Cricetulus griseus: one gene and its partner. The protein of the gene in region 1 interacts with the protein of each later gene in a pairwise test. Links are inferred from orthologs where the notes say so. Each region holds a gene or a part of one and is shown on either strand. Other genes may lie near its edges.

Region 1 (4,098 bases):
CTTGGCCATATCCATGTAGGCATCTATTTCCACTGTCCCAGCCACCCAGAGGAGGTGGAGGAGGAAGAGAGGAAATGGAACTGGTCCCCTCCTCCTTGGCTGTAACGTCCTGTGCCTGACCTCTCTCCCATCCTCCTCCTCTTTCTTTGGAGAAGCCTGCCTGGAACATATGTTGTCTTAGAGAAAGAGGGTTTAGTTCCCTGTTAGGCACCCTTAAAGAAGAGACTGAACCTTAAAAAAAGATTTATTCAAAAGGAAGATGGCTATAGAAACTTATTAGACTCTCCTAACATTGCCAGATTTAACAAACAAAATTACACACTACTACTTACATTTTATGTTCAGGTATAGAACAATATTTTTAGTATAAATATGCCCTAAGTATTTAATGGGACAAGTTTACATTAAGAAAGTATTTGTTATGTATTTAAATTTAAAATGTAACACACCCAGCACTCAGAAGACAGAAGCAAGCAGAGCTCTGTGAGTTCGAGGCCACTGGTCTACAAAGCAAGTGCCAGGACAGGCTCCAAAGCTACACAGAGAAACCCTGTCTCGAAAAACAAAACAAACAAAAATGTATTATTCAAATCTTATATTGTTTTTTGTTTTTGTTTTTGTTTTTTTGGTTTTTTTGTTTGTTTTTTTGGGTTTTTTTTTTTTTTTTTCCAGACAGGGTTTCTCTGTGTAGCTTTGGAGCCTATCCTGGCACTCGCTCTGGAGACCAGGCTGGCCTCGGACTCACAGAGATCTGCCTTCCTCTGCCTCCCAAGTGCTGGGATTAAAAGCCGTCACCAACGCCAGGCTTCTTATATTGTATGTCTAAAATGTTACATGTTACAGGCAACATATTTACAGAAAAAAGAAAAAAAGACAGGTGTTCGCTGTAAAAACTTAGCCAACTCATAAGCAATCTTCCTCAGCCTCCTCAGTGGTCCAGCTCATTGTGTAGACTTGGAGGTCAAATGTAACTGGATACTCTGTTTGACCTTTGGTGTCTCAATGTCTTGATGTCTTCATTGGGAGCAATGGAAATGAAACCTAGGGTTCCATGCATTCTAAGCACCTGCTCTGCCACTCAACTATACAGTCAGCCCCGAGATTCTGTAGTTTTTGATGCTTGTTTTATTTTTATGTCCCAATATTACAAAGAACATACTTCACTAAAAGAAAATATTCATTGTGTATCTTAACTTCAAAATACAGGACGGGTGTCCCGTGTTTTATCTGGCAACCCTATTTTAACACTTACCCACACTGGGAAGGAATTTTCCTCTGGGTGTGGTACTCCTCAGCCTGCACTGGCTCTAAGATGAGGACTAAGATTCAGAAATGGGCTGCAACCCACCCTAGAGCTGCTGGGAATGTAATACATGTACGGGACTTAATGAACTTATCATTTCTCATGGAGAGGAAGTGGGTGGTATTTGGGGAACTTAGGGCCCGCTGAGAGGCTGTCAGAAAAGGCACTGGGCTGTGAGAGAGTTGGTCACATCCATACTCACCATTGAGCTGTCAGAGAAAACATCCGGGTGGTTCTCATAGATAAATTTCTCCACCCTCATCTGCCGCAGCTTGAACATCTTGGAGCCTCGGTTGGTAAGTAATGACAGCTCCTCCAACATCACATCCCTTGGGACACTGATCTTCTTGCCCAGGTTCAGGCCTGAGTTCTCCCGTCCACCTTGTCCAGGAGGTGGAGAAGGGGCGATAGAGGAAATTAAGGCTTTCTGGACTCAGAGAAGAACCTCCACCCATAGCTGAGTGTATAGTCAAAGAGATCATTTAGAGGCAAAATTCTGTGATCTGACCAAGTTCTGCCTAGTTTATGAGAGGTTTTTGTCTCATTTGTGTATCTTTTAAATATTTTAAGAGAGAGAGGGGGGGTCCAGGGTTTCACTATGTAACCCAGAGTGGCCCAGAATTCACTGTTAGACCAGGTTGGCATTGAACTCACAAATCAGCCTGCCTCTGCCCCCTGATCACTGGGATTAAAGGCATAGGCCATCATCACACTCCATGAGAAGTCTTGATTTCCTGGTTTGGAGTTAGAGAGAATACACAGGAACAAGGGTTCAGGGCATATACAGTCGGAGTACTAGAGTAGAGAAGTAAACAGGGCTACAAAGAATATGGGCTTGGAGTGGAAGAGAACAAGTGTAAGGGAATATTGTAGACAGAGGTCACTGGAGAAATTATAGCTTGGGAGGAAGCTGATAGTCCAATATCATGTGCAGTTGCCCCTCTCTAAATACAGATCCTTATTTTTTTTCTTTTTGATTCAGTGAACTCTGGCTCCAGAAGTATCAGGAGAACTTCACACCTGGTAACTCGTTTACATCCCTGGGGAGTATGCCTGCCCAGTTTCCTATTTTAAATGCTTACACAAGTTCTCTAGCACTTAGAAAGAAATAAGGAAGTTAACCATTTGGTGAGGTCTAGCTTGTGTCCTGTGGCCCTGGGCCTGGCTGAGTAGTGTAGCTGGGTGCTGTCTCAGAATAACCAGTGGCAAGGGTGGAGGATGCAGAGTAAATGTGGAATTCTTCCTGCTTCTCTCTCCTTGCCCTTCTTACCCCTCCCATCACTTCTGTCTCCCACACCTTCCGTGGCTGGAATTCCTCCTGTATTTTCACTCTGACTTATATCCAGTCTTATGTAATTTCTGGGACTCCCGAGTCATGGGTGCTCTTAAAAGTCAGGCACTAGGGAGCTACAAGCATGCCCTACCTCCGGTGAGCTCCATGATCAGTTTGCTGGGTTTCCTCCTCTTGTTAGGGGCCGGGGTTCCCGAGAGCGGCATGATGGAAATGGACTTGACCTGGAAGGAGTGGGAAGCAGGCTTGAAGAAGAATCTTCTTTTTCTTAATTTTTTTTTTTTTTTGAGACAGGGTTTCTCTGTGTAGCCCTGACTGTCCTGTGTCCTGGAACTGGCTGTGTAGACCAGGCTAGCCTCAAACTCAAGAGATCCTCAAACCAAGCTCCTACCCTCCTTGCCCAATCTGCCTCTGCCTCCCAAGTTGGCATGTGCCACCACCTCGAAGCTTCAGTACTCCTTAACTTGGGGTTAAGAACAAAGTTTCTTCGGAGTGTGTGTGTGTGTGTGTGTGTGTGTGTGTGTGTGTGTGTGTGTGTGTGTGTGTGTTTCTCCAGTGCTGAGGATTGAATTCAAGGCTTCATTATGCCACGCAGGTTCTCTACCACTAAGGTATGCCATCCAACTCTCAGGTTTTCACAGAAGTGTGTATTCCTCCCAAATGGTAAAACTCCGCTGTCTTAGGACTTGTTTTCTTTGGAATCAGAACAGGAGGCAGAGCTGCCCCCTTTTCCCTACCTCTTACCATCCTCCAGTGCCCATTTTCCATAGATCCTGTGGGGGGGGAGGCGAGAGCTGTTTCAAAGACAACAACCCTGGCAGGGCAGTGCACCCAGGTTTCTTGGCCTGGCATGATTTAAAGCGATTATTTGTATTGGGGTATCAGCCTACAGCTATGGCTCCAGACTCTGGTCTCCTCCTCAGGCTTCCCTCAAGGTCCAAGGGGTAAAGAAATGCTCTGCTGGTGTTAAGGAGATTCAGCCAAGACAGTCTCCATAGGAAGGAGAGGTTGTTGTTCTGCCAGGAGGCCAACTGGAACTTGGCCTGAGAGGTCATGGGTGTGTTCCTTGTTCCTTCAGGCACTCCTATCCCAAGCTGCAGAGCTGGGGTGGAGAGTGAACTGAGGGCATCTGAGCACTGACAGATGTCAGTTCAGCGATATCATATATAACAGTAGAGAATTGTGAGGGGACAGAAACATAGTAATAAGATTTGGCTGTGGATGGCGACAAGCTAGGGAAAAACATGAACTTCAATTTGTCCTTAACGCTCATGCAGTTTTCTGTGGAGTCTTGTCTCAGAAGTACAGATACACTCTACCAACCTCCCAGGGTCTCAGCCCCCCCTTCCCATTCCTCGGGTACCTCCCCACCCATCTTAATTCCACCCAACTCCTTAGGTCCATTTGTTTCCAACTCTGTGGCTCCAACTGGACAGCTGAGAGCTGGGCAGAGATGAGGAGAGAGGCCACTCCCCTAGGATGAAGGATCACAATCACAGACAAA
Region 2 (3,500 bases), on another chromosome or scaffold:
GAGGAGGAGGAGATGGTGGTTATCCTCTCCCCACTGCCTGGGAAAGTCTATCTCCTCGTGCTGAGAATCCAAGGACGAGGCAACCTCCCTGCTACTGAGAGGTCCATACGGACAAAAGACCAACATGAAGGCAGTTTGGAACTTGCTGAGACATAAAAGACAAGAGTATGCAAATTTGCAGAGTGAGGCAAGGCAAACCTCACTTACTTGGGCTCAGCCCAGGTAGATAACCCTCCTAGATTGTTAAAATGTTAAAAATGGAATATTTTAAAAACGACTTCTGTTTCTGACACTGTGGTAGAACATGAAGAGGCTATACAACACGCAATAAGGAGAAAACAGAGTCTTGTTTTAGCAGATCCAGTTCCTAGAACAATGGGAGAAGACAGGCACACTCAAGCATCTGGGCTACAGGACAGCAAACCTAGTAAGAGAAGCAGCATGACCAAGGCCTGGTGCTCCAGGCCAGGGCCTCTGGGAATGAACTGGAGGAATGAACTGGAGGAATGAACTGGGGGCTCTCACACCACAGCACCTCCTACCCCGCTGCTCTGCCCTCTGCAAACCGCCCCATCCACCCTTCCCCCAGTCTTCCTTGTGGCGCCAGAGTCCTGTCATCCACAGCCCAGCCCACCCTCTTTGCCCACCTGGGATGGGCTGTCCCCCAAAGGTGACGTTGACATCGTAGTCTCCAGGGCTGAAGGGGATGTACTCCACTGTGCAACTACCATCCTTGTTGTCCTTGCAGGACATTTTAGCTTCTGAGGGGCCCTCAATGGCTAGGCCAAGGCCTCCAGTGCCAGCACCCCTATAAAAGAACACTCCTGTCAGCTGTTTTAGAGCCAGTGAAAGGGTTAGGGAAGGGGTTGGGGGACAGGGAGGAATAAAGAGGGCAGGCTGCTGGGGATGGACTGCATGGGCTGTCTAGGAATACAGGGAGAATGACCCTGGGTCACCTCTGAAATAGGATGAAGTGGGTGACAGGGCAAATAAATGGAAAGGGCAAGAGATCAAGATGGATATAACTTTGGGTCAAGGTTAGGCAAAGAGAAGGATACCTGGTTTCCACAGTGAAGCGGTTGGCCTTGTTGACCAAGCCACCCTCCAGGCCTGGTCCAAAGGCTCGGACTCGGGTGGGGTCACAGCCTTCAGTCACACCCACTCGGAAGGGGCTCTTGGGCACAGCTACCTCATCATATAGCACCTCCACCAAATGCACACCTGGAAGCCAGTCACAGTCAGTCAGTCAAGGAGCGCAGAGCCCTCCCTCATCCTTGCCCTCCAGAGCACACTGTGCCCCGTTCCCACTCGTACAAACCCCTTACCCTCTTCATAGGCAGTGTACTGCACTCGGTAGGTGCCATCCCCATTGTCTGTCACATAGGTATCTGTCTTAGCACCCGAGGGGTTGAGTACCCGAGCTGTCACATGGTTGCCGCCTGTGGCTGTCAGAGACCTCGCATCCACGGTGAATTCAGTCGTCACCTCCCGCAGGACACCTAGATCCAGGGAGCCAGGCTCAGCCTTTACTCAGCCCCTTCCTCATCCCTCACTCCGAAGCTGTTCTTTAAGTAGAGCCTAGCCAACTCTCTGCGCCCTTGAGTCTCAGGCCTTCCCTCACACCTTCTGCCTTTGCTCCCTTCACCATTCAGTGCCGTCCTCTGCCCTCGTTAGTGCCCTGCCAGGCTGAGGACTGTGTCCTACTTGCCTCTGCTCAGCTTATCCCTCGTTGATCTGTCTCCCTCGCAAGCAGCCCACTCATGTAACTATCTCCCGGATTCTTGACACCTAAGATACAGCTTTCCCACTGTGCCTTTTTATGTGTTCTCGGCTTTATTGGGGTCTGAGATGCCTTAAATCGACAAGTTCAAAGATCTTACCAGAAAAGTGCCCAGGGGCCGATGCCATTTTGTCACAAGATCAGAGACTAATCTTCATGCCCTGTTGGTCCCCCTTGCTCCTTTTTCTGGGGTGTTGAGCCCCCGAAACCTCCATTTGCTCATCCCCCAGCTCTCCTCCCTCCCTCCTGGCCTAGTCCCATAACTCGACACTGTGGGCTGCTCCTCTCTTACCATGTGGCTCCACACCAGGCCCGGAGACCTTGATGCCACTGGTATCAACTGCAGGCTGCACGTGGACACGAGTGGGGAACTTGGGTATGGGGTGGCCGCCATACTTGATGGTGATGGTGTAGGTGCCAGGGAAGGCAGGGCTGTAGGTGATGTGGTAGGTGCCATCCGCGTTGTTGTGGATCAGCACCTCGGCTTTGACGCCAGCGTCCGACAGGATCTCAATGGTGAGCTCGGCCTCGCCCGCTTCCGAGCAGTCCACAGTGAAGGTGGCTGCCTCTCCAGCCTTGCCACGCTCCAGGCCTGGCCCACTGGCCCTCACCTTGCTTGGGTCGAACACGGGCTGGATGGTGGCCTTGAAGGGTGAGCCAGGGATGTGGGCTTCAGCAAACAGGATATTGATGGTGTACTCGCCTGGCTCTGTGGGCAGATAGCTGACAGCACAGGATCCATCTCCATTGTCTTGGCACTCGATCTTGGCTTCGCAGGGGCCCTCAACAGTCAGCCCCAGGCCTCCTGTGCCAGCTCCTTTGGTGTCAATGGAGAACGGTGCAGGAGTACCTACAAGCCCACCCTTGAGACCTGGGCCATAAGCGCAGACCTAGAAAGATGAACACATGTGTTAGTCCCCTGAACTTGGCTTCTTCTAAGTTCCCAGACTCTGCAGCTGTGACCTGAGCAAGCACCTTGAGCTGTAGCAGCCAACTCCAGGAGATGGAGTAACAGTGGATCAGTTCTGTGGATCAGGTCTGATTCCAATGCCAGTCTCTGAACAACTAAGCTGTCTCTAAGACCCATCCCCCAGAAAGGATGCTCCTGGCTCTGGATGTGCCTACTCTAGGCTCATGTGTTCTTCTGGTCTCTGCCTATAACTCACTCATCTTTCCTATCAGCCCCCAACTCCTGGATCCCAGCCCCTGTGTGTTTACCTTGGAGGGGTCAGGGGGCAGGACACCTTCCACAGCAAAGGGGCTGCCAGGCACTGGGTGACCATCATAGGTGATGTCCACTTTGTAAGGTCCCTCTTCAGGGGGCATGTAGCGGACGGCCTGAGCTTCTGCACCACCCCCAGGCTCCAGCTTGCAGGGGATAGGTCGCCGGGAGGGTGAGGTCATCCGCACATCTAGCTGACCCTGACCACCAGCCCCTCTTGTATTCACCGAGAATGCCTGTTCCTGTCCCACGGCCACCTCTGCATAGAGGGCAAGGGACACCATGAGCAGAGACTCCACCCCTCACCCAACACCCCGCAATCCCAGGGTGGCTCTTCACTTACTGCTGTTAAGTCCTTGAACTTTGACTTTGCTGAGGTCCAATGGGGGTGCTACATTAACCACAAAGGGACTTTTGGGGACAGGGTCCCCACCGTAGGTCACTGTTACTGCCATGTTGCCCTATGGGGTACAACAGAAAGTCAGAATGGAGTGGCTT

The links.
Region 2: the proteins of Myoz1 (region 1) and Flnc interact in a two-hybrid assay, tested with the Homo sapiens proteins (2 studies listed by BioGRID and IntAct). The link is inferred for Cricetulus griseus from reciprocal best matches to the Homo sapiens genes MYOZ1 and FLNC.

What each region holds. Positions count from the first base shown.
Region 1 is NW_023276807.1:200,330,517-200,334,614, reverse strand, and holds the start of Myoz1 (myozenin-1), read right to left. Parts: upstream 2,801-4,098; coding exon 2,728-2,800; intron 1,685-2,727; coding exon 1,506-1,684; intron 1-1,505. UniProt on the Homo sapiens protein: Myozenins may serve as intracellular binding proteins involved in linking Z-disk proteins such as alpha-actinin, gamma-filamin, TCAP/telethonin, LDB3/ZASP and localizing calcineurin signaling to the sarcomere.
Region 2 is NW_023276806.1:198,369,530-198,373,029, forward strand, and holds part of Flnc (filamin-C), read right to left. Parts: intron 3,464-3,500; coding exon 3,346-3,463; intron 3,262-3,345; coding exon 2,999-3,261; intron 2,671-2,998; coding exon 2,073-2,670; intron 1,500-2,072; coding exon 1,326-1,499; intron 1,222-1,325; coding exon 1,059-1,221; intron 809-1,058; coding exon 648-808; intron 1-647.